Linked DNA regions of Lonchura striata. The protein of the gene in region 2 purifies or fractionates together with the protein of the main gene of each other region. This does not show direct contact. Links are inferred from orthologs where the notes say so. Each region holds a gene or a part of one and is shown on either strand. Other genes may lie near its edges.

Evidence for each region.
Region 1: the proteins of CTTN (region 2) and ASAP1 purify together in Homo sapiens (affinity purification with western blotting; 6 studies listed by BioGRID and IntAct, with this or other methods). This does not show direct contact. The link is inferred for Lonchura striata from reciprocal best matches to the Homo sapiens genes CTTN and ASAP1.

Annotation. Positions count from the first base shown.
Region 1 is NC_134603.1:9,923,584-9,931,531, reverse strand, and holds the start of ASAP1 (arf-GAP with SH3 domain, ANK repeat and PH domain-containing protein 1), read right to left. Parts: upstream 3,070-7,948; 5' UTR 3,055-3,069; coding exon 2,942-3,054; intron 2,588-2,941; exon of another isoform or gene 2,520-2,587; intron 2,051-2,519; coding exon 1,921-2,050; intron 1,824-1,920; exon of another isoform or gene 1,800-1,823; coding exon of another isoform or gene 1,731-1,799; intron 1,425-1,730; exon of another isoform or gene 1,405-1,424; intron 1-1,404. UniProt on the Homo sapiens protein: Possesses phosphatidylinositol 4,5-bisphosphate-dependent GTPase-activating protein activity for ARF1 (ADP ribosylation factor 1) and ARF5 and a lesser activity towards ARF6.
Region 2 is NC_134608.1:54,885,572-54,893,257, forward strand, and holds the start of CTTN (src substrate cortactin), read right to left. Parts: upstream 3,066-7,686; 5' UTR 2,940-3,065; intron 304-2,939; coding exon 220-303; intron 1-219.

The DNA of each region.
Region 1 (7,948 bases), on a different chromosome or scaffold from region 2:
GCTTGTTTAAATCTTGTTTCTCACCAAATAAAGCTTTTTTATATTTACAGATAATAAAAAAAAAAAAGCAAAACAAGTCCAGTTTAAACTGCAATCAGTTCAAATAGGGCACATAAAACAGTTACACAAACAAAAGAAATTCAAAAAAGAGAAACACAATCAACAGAAGTACCCACCATTCTTTATTCCCCTGATTTATTGTAAAATCTGACATTAAAACTTCTAAAATACAGTCCACACAAACAGTGCAGAACACTGTGTATTTATCTTCTATATTTTGTTTCTCTTCAGACAGGCATTATCACATTTAGCCTGTACTGATGTATTTCCCAAACCATGAAAGCATTACACTGTATTCTTACCCTAGAAGTTAAGTCACCAGTGATGACAAAACACATATTTTTATTAACTCTATGCATGCTGTCACGTGTACTAACAAGCATATCAATGGCTGCACCTATTCCACATAGTTAAGAACAGGGGGCAGCAATTCTGTCAAACACTAACCTAACAGGTTGATTTTTGAGAAATCTATCAGTGGCCATGACTTAGGTACAAGAGAAAAGAAAACCCAAACTAGTTACAGTTATGAAAATGTTACAGATGTTAATCTAGGTTACACAATAAAAACAAAATATAAAATTCTAAATGTGAACTTACAATCACTCTAGTCAGTTACCACAGACAATTGCACTGTTACCGTTTTGAACATAGACAGTTTTTCTATTAAAACTTCAGCTGATCTGATTCCTGTGGAGTTCTATTTCCATACCCAAGACTATCAAGCACATACCATAATTAAATAATTAATACTCTTTCCTTGCATACCAAATGTTTTGCTCATGCCAACACATTCAGCAGAATTAAAAAACTCTATTAAATCCATCTCCTAGATACGTGCCAGTTCCTGAAGAATCAACAAATACTTGATGAACTAAGTGTATAATCCAAAACAACAACTAACTGCAACCCTGCCACATTAGCAAAAGTCTCCCTTCTTTCAGCGTCATTATGCTTGTACCTTCAAGCAAGCACAGGGCAAGAGAAGAGCTGCACACTATCTTGTTTTAAAGTCATTTGGAAGACATTTCCTCATATCCACTAACCTAGTCCATTGGAAATCATTCTGAAACCTCAAATAGGAAGCAGTGGACTGATATTCCTTGGAAACCAGCTCTGGAAGTTTACCCATTTTCATGCTCCTATTTCTTGACAGCAGAGCAGGGTGAACATTTAAATGATGCTCATAACAAGCATGAAAAAAAAAAAACCCAGCACTGAGCCTTCAAGGTTGAAGTGCTGAGACCATAAAATCTCTTCTGCTGCATTATTTTGCTCCTCTTCTTCCACCAATTCTGTTTTCATATTATTTCCCTCACTCCACATTCATCTCTTCATCCTTACCTCATTGCTTAAACCAAGTCTTCCTTGGCAGATTTCTGCAGAGTTCTGCGTACTGGATGTAACGAGTAGCTGGGGAAAACCTCTACTAACGCTCCCAAACAAAACTCACCCTTCATCTTCCCTCTAAAAATCCCCAACATTCACGCATTTTCTTCTACTGCAACAACTGACAACACTGAAAATACCAAGAAGTACCACAGCAACATTTAAGTTCAGATAACTACTTTACGTACTAATCTTTGAGACGCCAGAGCAGAAAAGCTTTCTGTAACTAGCTCAACACAAGGGCAAAGTCCCACAATTAAAAGACCAGATTACATGCATACCAACGCCTCTGGCTCCTGTGGATTTGGGCGGGTGGTGCTGCCCCGTCCCTGATGCTCTCTCGAAGGCATACAGAAAAAAAAAGAAATAAAAAGGAGAAGAAAAAAAAAAAAGGAAAAAAAAAAAGGTGTGTGTGTGGGGGGGGGGAACGATAAAAAACAGGGGATAGGATGTGGGGTGTGGACGATTTACCTCTTCCAGCAGCGTGACCGTGTTCCTGCAGTTCTGCAAGCGGGTGGTGAAGCTGGAGGTGGTCGGGGAGTTGTAATCCTCTGTGGTCTCGGCGATGAACTCCGACACGGTGATCTGGTCCGGCATGATCCTGCCCCACCGGTAAAGCCCAGGAGAAGCCGGGCACACAGATCCGGAGAGAGAAGAAGCCAAGTTTCGAGGGGAGAGGTGAGGGAAAAAAATAAAACGAAAAAAAAAAAAAAGCAGAGGGAAGAAGATGTTAACAGCCAGCAGAGACCCGCAGCATCAAAGCACCGGAGACGCAGAGGGAGGCTGAGGCTTCGCCCTCTACATCCAGCCTCTCCCCGGCCGCCCCCTCCTCCTCCGGGCAGGAGGTGAAGGGGGTGAGGCCCCCGCACGGCGCCCCTGGCTCGGCCCCGCCGGTGGGGAGCGCTCCCGCGGCCGCCTCCGAGCAGCCCAGCTCGGCCCCGCCGCGGCGCTGCGGGGAGGGCGGCGGGAGGGGAGCGGCGACCGCGCCGGGCTCAGCCCCTTTCCCCACCCGCGCCGACCCCCCACGCCCCCCGGCCCGGCCGCTGCTCCCGCCCGCGCCGAGCACTGACTTGCGCGGGCTCGGGCTGCGCCCCCCGGGCGCGGAGGCGGGGCCGGGCCGGGCGCGGCGGGGCCGCGGGGCCGCGCTGACGGGCACCGCCGACGGGCACGCGCCGCCCGCCGCCGCTGCGCGCCACAACGAGGAAGCGGCTCCGCGCAGGCGCGGCCGGCGCTCCCCTCCCCCGGCCCCGCGGTTGCTGAGGGGGGGAGGCTGCCGCTCTTTCGTTTTCTTATCATTAAAAAAGGCTTTCTGGTGGGAGCTGACAAGGTCGGCGGGTGCTGGCCTGCAGTGCTGTCCCTAAGCGCGAGAATGAGCGTCCCGTGCCTTCTGGCGGCGCGGAGAGGAGAGACCCTGCCCGCCTCAGGCTGCGTGTCCGCTCCCGCTCCGGGGAGCCCCCAGGGCGGGTCGCGGGGTCTCTTGCTTCTTTTTTACCCTTCCCGAGGTCCCTCACAGCCGGTCGGAGCCCCATCCGCCGGTGATGTAGAGCCGAGGATTCCTGCAGCCACCGCTGAGGGAGCCACCCCTGTCGGCAGTCTTGACTGCATAGGTTTTTACGCTCCTTAGACTTAGTTAATTTTTAAGACGTCCTGCTACGATTTAGAGAAGCCCTTGAAGTTGCTACTGCTGATTTTGAGTAAACAGTTCTGTGCCTGAGCCTTTCCGGAGCAGAGCTGTCTCGGTGCTGCCGTGGCCGGGTCGCAGAGCCCAGCGCGGTGCCCTGAACCGCGGGTTACAGCCCTGTGTCCGCTCACAGCCAGCTTTTCTGAATAGTTAACATGTCCTTTAGCCATTGTTGTATCGTGTAATTCAGGGAGCTGACAGATAGACACTTTTTTTTTTTTTTTTTTTTTTTTTTTTAGCTTAGGTTTGGGGTCCCATATGTTCATTACTAAAGAAGGCTAAGTCTCAGGAGGCTCAAGTAATTGTGGTCATCTGCTGCATCAGTGTGATTTATTTAGCCATACTGTGTGATTTCCTCCTTATATTTGGGATTCTCTACACAGAAACTGGGCCATTCGGTAAATATTCTCAAATCTGAACAATTTAGAATGAGCACTATTATACAGCTGTATCCATTTCAAAGCATTTTATGCTCACTGTATAAGCACCTACCACATTACAATGTGGTTAGGCTTGTACATGGTTTCATATATAATTCTAATAAAATGCCTGTGCAGCTCAAAAATAGTTTACAGTATCAACTAAAAACTGCAATGCCTGAGTAAGGATAAAAAGGAGATACCTGATTTGAGTATACCCATAAAAAATTATTTCTGTGCAGTTCTATTAGCAAAAATATGACCAGCACTCCTGAGCAGTGGTCCTGCCTGAACATGTTTCGGTGATTTCATTGCCTTAGTAGAAGCCCTCCATACGGCCATGTGATTGCTGCTGCTGCTGCTGCTTCACGTGATCCAGCTTTCTGGCACAAAGGCTCTGAGCTTGTACAGATGATTGTTAAACGTCATGAGACTCTGAAAGGTAGAGTAGGCAAGAGGAGGAGGAAGCCAAGAAAAGAACTGTGTGGGAGTTACAGTGAGAAATGGATTTCGGCAAAAAAAAATGAAGCGCTGAAGAAGCAGCCGGAGAGGTAGGAAGAAAATCAGTTGATGATTGTGTTCATAAGAGCAGTGGAGAAGGAAGAGAGACCAAGAAGATAAAAATGGCTGGTGGCATCAAAAGCAGTATGGAAAGGAGAGTAAAGAACTGGCTGAGGGGTTGGGCCAGGGAAGAGCTGCTGGTAACAGCCAAAAGAACTGTTTTGGCCTAGTCTGCTTGGAAACTGGATGGGTGAAGGATATGGCCTGAGGGCCAAGCAGGGTCTCTGTGGTCATCCCCTGTAATTCCTGCTGAACAGCAATCATGGGCTGTCACTCAGCTGTTCCTAGTGGCCCGAAGGTCAGCCACAGTTTTCACATTAGGAAGATCCCTGATCCCTCGCTGGCAGATTTCAAGTGAGGATAAATCTATCACACTGGTGGACAAACTGGTTTAATTAATTTGGTACTCTCACTGTTAGGGTTGAATTGTTGTTCTTCAGACTGTAGTTATTGAGCTTGACCATTAATCTCTGGATTGTAAAATAACCTCATCTGTTTTCCCAAACAAATCACCCCAGAAGCTGAACATATTGCTAAAGACATAATTTCTTTCATACTATTTCGTGAAAATTTATACTACAGAGTGGAAGAGCATATTCAACTAAGAAAGGTAGTAGACAGGCCAGGGAAACTGTGGCAGTGAAGAGTGACAGAACTGAAGGCAGAGCAGAGTAAGCGCAACTGAGCTTTTGTGTTTCTTCATCAGGGAAAAAAATTGTCTTCTGGAAAGACATATTAAATGTCTTAAGAAAAAGAATGAATACAGAAGAATACTGGTAAATAAAGAGAATGGCACAAGGCCTAAAAATGAAAAAGGAAGATAATAGTTGCCTTTTGGTCTGTTTTTGACAGTTCTGAAATTGTTTACTCTGCCAGAGAGATACAGTGCTCTGTTTTGCTGCTTAAAAGCAGCATTTCCCCTTCCCCTATTCAAATGTTAGTAAAGAAAATAGCCCTATAGGTATGACCTCTTTAGACTTGGATTATTTTCATTTAAATTCACTGGAAACAAGATCAGTTAATTAATGTGATGTTAATAAAAATATACTAGCTGCCTGTAAAAATGTGCTAATATTTAAACTAGTCAAATTATGTAAGTATTTCAAATAGCATTCAGTGAATTTCAGATTTAACCACGTTTCCTGTTTTGAATTGCAATCAGTATCCGAGATTCAATTCTAAATTTGTAAGATGCACCTCTCTTTAAATTGTCACTAACTGAAATTACTGTTTCACTTCACAAATGTCAAAGAATAATCATCAGAGTGTGAAAGTTATATTTCACAGTGGCTGCTACAACACTGTCAGTCTGTGCTAGATCCTGGGTGAGGCTGTGCCACAGCCTTTTTCTCATGGAAGGTTTGCCAATGAGTTATGCTTATCTCAATCCTTTTGGTATTCTGAAGTGAAATACATCTTGTCCATCCTGGACAAGCTAATGCCAGTGAGGATCATGCAAGCAGCACTGGAAATCACTTACTCCTTACTGCTGATGCACTGCAGCCAAGGAAGTTGTGTTGTCTTGCCATCCCACCCAGTGACTCAGTCTATAAATCCACTTGATTCCCTGGTTTTTATTGTGATTGCAAACAGAAGAGTTAATTACAGCAAATTCTGCAGTACTGGTGATAGTTGCCATGCTTAGGGAGAGTCTAAGGAATATTGCAATGATGAACTACCAACACAGGTGTTAAGCAATGATAGTATTCTTCATTTTATAGTATTTTGGACAGCTTATATTTAGATTGAAATCATCAGTTCGCTTACAGGAGCTGAGCAGGAGTGAACAGGTGATGATGTTGTCATCACTGTGAACTTTGCAGCATGGCCAGTATGTGCCAGAGGTGAAAAGCTACATGGCACTTGCACAGCTCTTCACATCATCAATGCAATTAACTATTGAAACCATACAGCAATGTGGTAGAGAACAGCAAGATTATTTTTCCACTACAGATAAGGAGCCAGATAGATGAGATTGTGGCCCTGCAGTGTTTGTGGCTGTCTAGCTTGAGTCATGCAAAGTCAGCTCTTCAGGATATCAACACCTCATCTAGGCTGAAGCTGGTGGTGAATCTCCCGTGGGATGTGATTATGCTGCCTGCAGAGAGCAGCCCCAGGACCAGCCTGAGGTCACACTTCCCTGCTGCGTAGGAAGCAAACTCAGAGATGCAAACTCAAGGTGTGGTTGCTGCTTTTGGAAACAAGCTTGACCCGAGTCCCTGGCTGTGCATCAGTGTGTTGTCAAGCGTGCTCAGATGAGCTGCCTCCTGGCCATTTGCAAGCTCTCAGTGTGGCATGGAAGTGAGTTCTTAGCTGGAGAAGGAAATCACTGCACACATCGGTTCTGTGCAGTGACAGGATTAGTGCAGGTGTAGTCATGGCAGGATCTCACATGTCAAATTCAAGGGGTTTTGATTCTCAAGTATGAACATGATGCCTTTTTGCAAATACTGGTTTACAACTACATTCATTTCTTGACTTGTAATGTTTCCGTCTTGGCTATTACTGCGGATAAAAGTGCTGATTTTATAGTATGACAGACAGTACTGTTTAATTAAAACATCAAATCATTGAAATGCACATGCTTTTCTTAGTTGTTGTTTTTATGCTCCTTAGCATCTCCACAAACATGGAGAATGTCACCAGCTCAACAGCAAATAGCAACAGAAGTAGTGTGCTAAAATGCATAAGGAAAATATCCTTAGGCTGTGTTTCTCTACTATACTGCTATCCTGAGTATGTTTGTGGTTTGACGTTAGATTCATCCATTTCAGCTAAACACAGCAGTCAGGAGTACTTCCCATCCTCTTCCTGATCCTAACTCTATGAGATCATCGTATCTGTTGACAACAGACATCCATGGCATTTGATACCTCAAAACTGATTTGAGGTTTCCTGAAAAAAAACATCTATATGGTAAATTGCTGTTCCTACATTTTTATAGTCTTATTTTCAGATAACTTCTAACAAAATTAATGGGAAAGGCTTATTTAAATTTATGGCCATAATACTAGAATATCCACAAATATTTCTGAATATCAGCTCTTTTCACATGAGTTGGATGCTGGGCTTAGGGGATAAAAAAAACTTCAACAAGAATCTCAGCAGGATGATTTATGCTTTTGGTTTTGGAATATCTCACGTGCTAAAACTCAGTAAACTTTTTTTTGTTAATGGAACTCTGATAGTTTTGTTTTGCAAAGCAAAACCACCCCATTTAAGTGAGGACAAGTAATATCACTCTGTACTTCAGCAGGAAATGTTTAGTCAGGAGGCATTTCACCTCCAGGAGCTGTGTCCTCTCAGAGGATGGTCGGACGGCTGACAGCCTTGCATGAAATGTAACAACTATGTATTTTGACCCGCAGCATGTTTGCACATTTAAGATCACACAAGTGCATGGTGTACTCACAGGAAAAGGCAAAGTCTATTTTAAACACTGAAGCCTACATCACACATTGTGACTGGTGCTAATTTGCTTGAAGGAAACGTGCATGGTAAACTGCAGAGTATTTCTACTTGAGAAAGAAGGCTGTTGACTTTGACATTTGCAAACAAACCTTTGAAATTATGTTACCGGGACTGAATAGTCTGGTAACTTTCAAGTAAAAGAATACTTCGTGCCTGTGTCACATTGTTGAACATGAAGAAGACCAAAATCCAGGTCCAGCAAACATGCTGATTGCAGTTCTGTGGTTTTTATGGGACAGTATCTGCTAATGTGACTTATGAACTGCATGAGCTGTGTCAAGAATTTGTGCTGCTGCTGTGACTGTGTTGAATGCAAGAATCAGCTGATTTCAATTTTAATACTGGCATCTCCCACCATTTGTCTTCC
Region 2 (7,686 bases):
CCAAAGGAATCTAGTCACACACATTTCAGAGCTCACAGCAAAAGCTTCCAGCAGTCACTGGGACCACAAGTGTTGGAAAAGCAGCTTCACTTCCCCTCCACTCCAGGGACACACTCTTGACAGTTTATTTGGCCAAGACACGTCCCCCACCCCACAGAGCTCCTCTGGAATTATCCCAGAACAAATTCCTGGTGGATCAGTATACCCCAAAAGCCATACCACAAAGTCTGGATCTGTCTCCCAGTCATCAGCTCCATCATCCTGGCTGACAGACACGGTGTGGCCTGCAGTAGCCTTCCACATCTGCAACACCAGCAAGAGAAGCAGGGTCACACTCCACTCACCTGCCAGCTCATTTGATTCGTGCAGGAGCTGACACAGGAGATGCAATCCAAAATCCCTAATAAAGTATGTTATTTAACCACATCACCAAGAGCTGTGCTTGCAGTGAAAACAGGTTGACCTCTGGAGCTCAGGCTGTCTTCTCAAGCTGGCTTACAAACCTGTTTAACTCTCCCATTTGCACTGTAAAAAGATTAGGAGTGATTGCTGTTTCAGGAGAACAAAGTCACCTTTCTTTGCTCAAATTAATGTGTGTGTGTCTCCTGTGCAGTCATTGCACTCAAAGACTTCTGTTCACACAGGTTACCAAGCCAACATGCACTTCCAAAGACTGCTGCTAATTCTGGATCCTGTGCATACAACTAAGGTGTAGGAATAGGTAATTTTTTTTCCCCAGGCACTAAAAATGGTGAGCACAACATTGTTCTTCACCTGCATTACACCTGCACAAACTCTTCTGCCGTGCATGGAGTTCCAGCACGGTGACTGAAATCCCAACAACTCTAAGAATTTGCACACAGTCCAGACACTGCTCCAACAACAACAGAGGAGTGTCTGTGCTCCTCAGGTATCCCCAGTGAGACATGGTGCTCACAAACTCAGCACCTTGTCTGGATTTCAGGAGAAACAGAGGGTGACTGCAGGAAGCAAGACTCATTAAAAAAGCAAACGATGACTTCTAGAAACAACACCCAGCACTTTAAAGAGGTTAATGATTTGGGGCCTCTCAGTTTCTGGAAACTTTATGCCCCACAGAGTATCAAGTTGGATATTTTTAATTAACAGTTCAGCTAGTTAGCAGAATTCCTGATCTTCCTGGTGCTAGTGGCTGGATTTTACACCCTTTATTCAACATAAATCAAAACAAATGCAGTCTAGAAAGCAAAACTGAAACCTCAAACTGCATGCTGCCTGTTCTCCCAGCTTTTTCAGAATACACTTCAGAGAAAAGATTTCATTTTTTCTTTGCTATTCAACTAGAGTTCAGTTTTTTAAAATACCAGCATTCTGTCCACTTACCTTTATACTTGTAATTAGGAACAGATTACAAAGATAATTATAATCGGCTATTTAATTCACACAAGCATAATTCAGTGGGTGGGATGAAAACTCACTCCCTCTTAAATGCATAGCTAATAATCCCTGGGTAAAGTCCACAGTTCGTTCTGTCAGGCTCGTTTTGCAGCCTAGCAGAATGAGCTGATGAGCCACTTTTTTGGAACATTTCAGAAATTTCAGGGCTGGTAACATGATTGAGAATAGCTGGAAAACTGACAGTCAAACACCAGGGTAGCAAATGCTGGAGTAGCCTGGAAGGAGAGTGCAAAAGCAGAACAGGTGACATATTAACAGTATCAGCACATTTCCCCTCATGTTATTTCAGGTCTCCCATCTCCAAATTCCCCTGGCAGCTAAGGAACTAACGTTTATAATAGTACCTCATATCCAAAAAGCTTCTGAGACAATGAGTTTTTAACCCAAACCTTTAGAACACAGGTGGTTTAACATCATCCTAGAAATACTTTGTCTAAAGCCTTATCTCACATGATTGTGTCGGATTGTCCTACTCTTTCCTACTAAAATCCAATCTCTCACCAAAAAAACCCCAAAAGCCTCGGAAACCCAAAAGCAGAACCCAACCAGCTCAATAATGAAATTCAACATGGGTCCAAGCTCTTCCTAACTTCTCCTAAGGGGGATGTTTTGTATCCATCTTTACTTGCTCCATCACGCTGTGCAAGATGTTTAGGAATGGAGAGCTGACTCACGTGTGCTCTGTATGGTGAATTTCTATATGCTTTGTGCCAAACACAACTTTTTATCCCCCGAGTAATTGTTTCTTGTGCTCACTTGATTTATGTATTTTGTTCATTCAGCTGTGCTTGGACAAGAACAAAAGCTGGATACTTTAGGTTTCGCTGTTTCTTCCTCAAGCTCTCACAAACAATAGCCAGGGAAGAAGGATTTCACACGCAGTCCCGTGCAAAGTCCAGCGTCCACCGCGACTCTCTGCAAACCACGCGCACAAACGCCAACATCTTCCCACAGCTCAACCCCGCACTCTGTGCATTCCACAAGAAGCAGAGCAGCCCCAGCGAGCAGGAATAAGCCTGGTTTCCGCCTGCTATTCCAGCACCGATCCCAGGGCAGAACGAGGAGAAACACGATCTATTAATGACTCACTGGCTCACGCGGCCATGATTCCTGAAGGAAGAAGCAAACGCTACGGTTCGAACCCAAACCCAGGCTAAATATATGCCTGGAGTGTACGCGCTGCTGTGACTAATCAGCACACGCATCATCCTGCGCAGCACGGCAGCCTCGGCAGCAGCGCGCTGCCGGGCCGGGGCCGCGGGGAGCCGGGAGCGGCTCCGGGCTGGCCGGGCCGGGCCCGGCACCGCGGGCGGGCGCTTTGCCCCACCGCCGTGGGGAGCCCCCGCCGCACACGCTTCCTCTCAAGTTCCCAGCTTCGCAGTTGAAATAATGTTTTTTTTTCTTTTTTTAAAGAAAGGGAATGACACGGAGCCGCGACGCCCCCCGGCTCTGCCCTGCGCGGAGCCCCCGGCCCGGCCTCCCTTCAGCCGCGCCGCGCTTACTGTGCTGCTGCCTCCCCGCCGGTGCTTCCCGGGCTGGCGGCGGCTGCTGCTGCAATTTCCGCTTCTCCCGAGCTCCCACTTCCTCTTCCCGGCTCCAGGTGGGAGCGGGACGGGCTCGGCTCCGCCCCGCCGGGAGGGGCCGCGCCGGCGGCTGCGGGAGCGCCGCTTCCCCGCGGGCCGCTCCAAGCATCGTTAATACTTTTGTCTGGAGCGGCTCCGTCCCCCGCTCCTTTCAGCCGCTCAAAAAATGCAGCCTCAGTAGTTGTAAAATGGCCACAGGGGAGTTGCTGGTGCAGTTGTGAGCATCCGTCTTCGTCTTCTAATGCTCACTTTTGCACCGTCGTGTTTTGGAAATCGCATCTACTCCGTCCCCAGGGGTTGCCATCGCTTTTTATCGGTGGGCAAATGGTTCCCCCGTGGCTGGGATCCGATCCAAATGAAACGGATGCAAAATGGAAACTGGGGGTTTAAAACACTGTGGAATGAGGTACAGGTTTGTTTGCTGTTTGCGTCTTCTAAAGGAGGGAAAGACCCCAAGTAAGGATATTTCTAGTGAAAAAAAAAAAAAAAATTACCGATAAACACACAAATTCAGGCTGTAATAGAGGGCAAGATGATAAAAAATCGAGGTGAACACAAGAACAACGTAATTCCAAATGTAGCCAGTTCATGTCATAAATAGGTCAGTTACTTCTTCCTGGATTACATGCAGTGCAATTTACCCCGTAAAATGAATACAGCATATTTGAAAAGGACTGAATTTATTCTAAAAACATTGTCTGCTGAAGAACACGCGTCCAGAGAACCTCAGTCCTTTAGGCATTACTTCTGTCTCTTCTGCGTCTTTTTGGAGTCTTCACCTCTCTCTTCAACTACAGGTAGAAGCAACAACCACATTTCTCTATCACTTTTCACCCATCTATTCCAACATCTACAAAACCAAAAGGTAGTGACACCTCAGTTAACTACAATTTCCCTTTCCCTCCCAAGGCCTTACCATTAACAAACAATAAAATTAACAAAATGTACAATACCTTGTGCACCAAAGCTGCAACCCTGATAGTGGGAAGTGAAAAAATTTCCTTTCAAAGGCAAAGTGACTCTTTAGTTTCTTTTAAAAGTACCACTCCCAAACATAGTGTCAATTGTTATTTACTTGAGAATTAATTTTGCTGCTCCTCCGTCTCAACCAAGCTCCAAAAATTCTGCTTTGAACTAATTTACCTGTTCTTCAAATCTTTGCATAATAAATCACTACTGTCCACAAGACAAGACACTGCTATAGCAGTTTAAAAGACAGAGTTAAAACATCTGTTTTGAGAGTCCCTGTCCTTTAAACATGCAAAAATTGCAAGTTTAAAGTTCACTCAGATAACTCTGAAGCATGCAGACAGGATGCATAGTTTAATTTTTACAGCCCTCTTTCCAACTGAAGCCTTTAAAGACATTTGGCAATTTACAAAACATTGTATTTAATCAAGCATTATCTAAAGATCACTGTAACAGACCCAGGTGCCTTTTCCACGTGCACAGTTTTCTTTCAACAGGGTGTGTGGGAGTTTGTAAAATTGAGCAAGACACGTTTTTCTGGATCTCTCCAGCACAGTTCTGCTGTGTAACTCAGAAGGAAGTCAGCACACACAGTTTTGCCAGTTTGTGAAAGCTTTCACCATTTCACTCATTTATTCTACCTCTCACATCAGTTCCATTGTTTCATAACAGTTAAGGTTTTACAGCCTTGAAATAATAAATGCATTTTCTGTTCACATTTTACAAGTCTATCCCGCATTGGTTTCACTTTTGAGAAGCAACAATACATGACTTTGAACACCTACTATCACTCACATCAGTGACCAGCAACGCCTAGGCAAGATTTCTCTAAACAGAAAAGTTTAGCTGAGCAGTGAGCTAGGATTTCCTTCTGCAGTTCCATTTTAGGTTTTTTTTCTAGAAAGATAGATTCTCTAAGAATATAAAAGAGACTGCAAATGAACAGACAGCAACTCGTACAGACAAGCCAGACAAACAGAGATGCATCACTGAACAAAGTTTAGAGCCTCCATGGCAGTGTTTCTCCAGGCATTTCACATCCTGCTGTTGATTTGGAGGACATGATGAAATAGGCTTCACTACTCCTTTCATTAATCTGCAACTCAATGAAATGGTTTACAAATACATCAGAATTGACATGAACAGCCCTATGTGACCCTATTTTGTACTGGTTCCCTCAACTCCTATGTTTCTCCCCACATATCACTATGGCCATGATTTCATTTTATTACCAAAGCAAGTGTTGCTGCTGTCTAGGACAGCATTTCCATCTTCACCATGTGGACCAGAATACACTGAAGTTGTGTGTCAGGTCTGGTTTATTATTTTAAAAAGCAAATCATAGCTCTAATGATGAGCAGAAGTAGGCAATAAAGCATTTTTTTTTCCAGAAAACTGATATTAATGCATGTGAACTTGAACAATTCCAAAGAAAATGTCACATCTAACAGAATATTTTTGCTACTGGAGAAAGGTCATCATTTGAAACCAGATCTACAGGGCAGCAAACAGTCATTAAGATGCTTTATTGACAATATCCACACACTGCAAAAGTGTCTGCCTGCATACAATTAGATCTTAGCTTTTCCATAGTGTTTTATTGGCAGTGGAAAATGCATCAGTACTTTATTGAAAGCAATAAATAATACTGTGATAAAAATAGTTCAAAAGTAGACTGTACATATTGTTACATAATCTGAAAATACACAAAAGATTAATAGAAAAACAGAACAGTAACAATGAATTTCAGTTTTACAAGCAAATTAAATGTGGAAAACAAAAGAAAAAAGACATGCTATATATATTGTTGCATAATAAATAATGCACCATCTGAAGAGATTCTTGCTGGCTTTTTAATATGCCATTTACAAGTGTCAGATACATTTTCTACTCATACAATCCAAAATGCCTACAACCATCCAAATTAAAGTCCAGACAAGTCTTTAGAACAAGTTTACAAAACACATAGGGTGACTTACATAAGAAAAGTAAGGCCTTTATTAGAAGATGCACTGCTTTAGTTTTCAGCCCATTGTACCTTCATCTTGCAGTACTCATTTGACAGGAGGCTGCAGTGCTTTAGGATTGGTCCATTAAAACTGGTTCTACCAGCATCTTTCCACCAAGTGTTTTCAAGCAAAAAGGTCTAGGACAAAAAAAAAAACCTCTCTGTGGCCTGTGGCTCACGACCAGGAATCATTATGAAGTCAATCCTCCTCAGGGAAGGAAAAGCAAAAGTAAAACCAGTCCTCGGTTTATGGCTTGTTTTCAGTCACTGCGAAGAGTCGCTACACAAACACAGCAGAAGGGTATTAGGACTGAGGCAATCACTCCTACAACACGTCCTGCAGGGTTAGGAGTTCCTCCCAGCTTTTCAAACCAGTTCTACTTTATTTAAAGACAAATTGCCACTACTTGACACATCCTCTGTGTGGAAAGGTACAGCTCTGAGAAGAACAACACTCGTGTACCGTTCGTCCTACGTCAACAAAGGCTCACCTGAAAAAAAGCTGGACTTGTTTTCAGATCTAAGCTAAGAGCTCCAAAAGACAAAATATATACTGCTTGGTGTCATGGTACTTTTACAAATGTATTAAAATCCTTTTCACCTTCAGTTTCATTATTAAAAAACAATGATAATTACAGTTACTGCATAATTTACAAAAACCCTATATTGCTCATAGGGACATATACATACAAGCATTACAGTACATTCAGTTGGAAAGACTAAAATTAGAATTAAATAAATCAGCAATGATTTGATTTGTAGACCGAATAGAAACAGAAAAAGTAAGTAACTATATAAATGACAAGTCACATAAATATAAGAAACATTTAGATTCTAAAATATTTTCTCTATAGTACTCATGAATTCATTTGCTAATTAAAAACTCTGTAATAAAATATCTCAAAGTGTCCATTTAACAAGTATTTATTAACAGGTTAAGGGTTCCAAATGTTCAAAATGCTGCATATCACCGGTAGAAATAGTGTGGGTAAACTGTAAAAACAACAAACAAAAACAACACACAAAAAGAAAAAAACACAGAAGATTCAATTAGCATGTTTTAACCACCATTGCATTCCAAGATTGTCACAAACAGCTCAGCAGTGCAGCAGTGATGCACTGAATAACTGCCATGCCATGTTGGATATAATTTTATAGCCTCCTGCAATCTCCAGCTGCAATGCAAATAAAGCAATGAGGACAAATGTTTCTGCCTAGAGGATTTCCATCCCATGTCATCTGACTACAGAAAATCCTGATCTAGGGAGAATCTGGGGGAGAGACTTAAAACTTAAGTTTCTTGCAACTAAAAATACTTTAAAGAGAGCCCCTGAGATTGTGAACTGACATGAGCTCATGTGGTCTGAGCTGCTACGTGCAGGAGTTTCCTCTCTCAGCATTCCACAGATAAGAACTCAACTCATACATGCAAAAAGGTTCTGAATTTGAGGAAGCAAATATATGAGTTGGAAGGGATGCTACCAGTAAGAAGAAAGAAGCTGCAAGCAGAGAAGACAGGCAATTTACAGTCCATCAAAGATATCAGTGAGGGGGAAAGATCCACTGAGTTGATTTTTTAAAATCATGAGAAAATACAGCAGAGGCTGCTGCAGAAACATTCCAGATCCTGGAGAAACACAGGACTACAGCTCTTTCACAAGCCAGAATACATGGATTTTGTGTTACAAC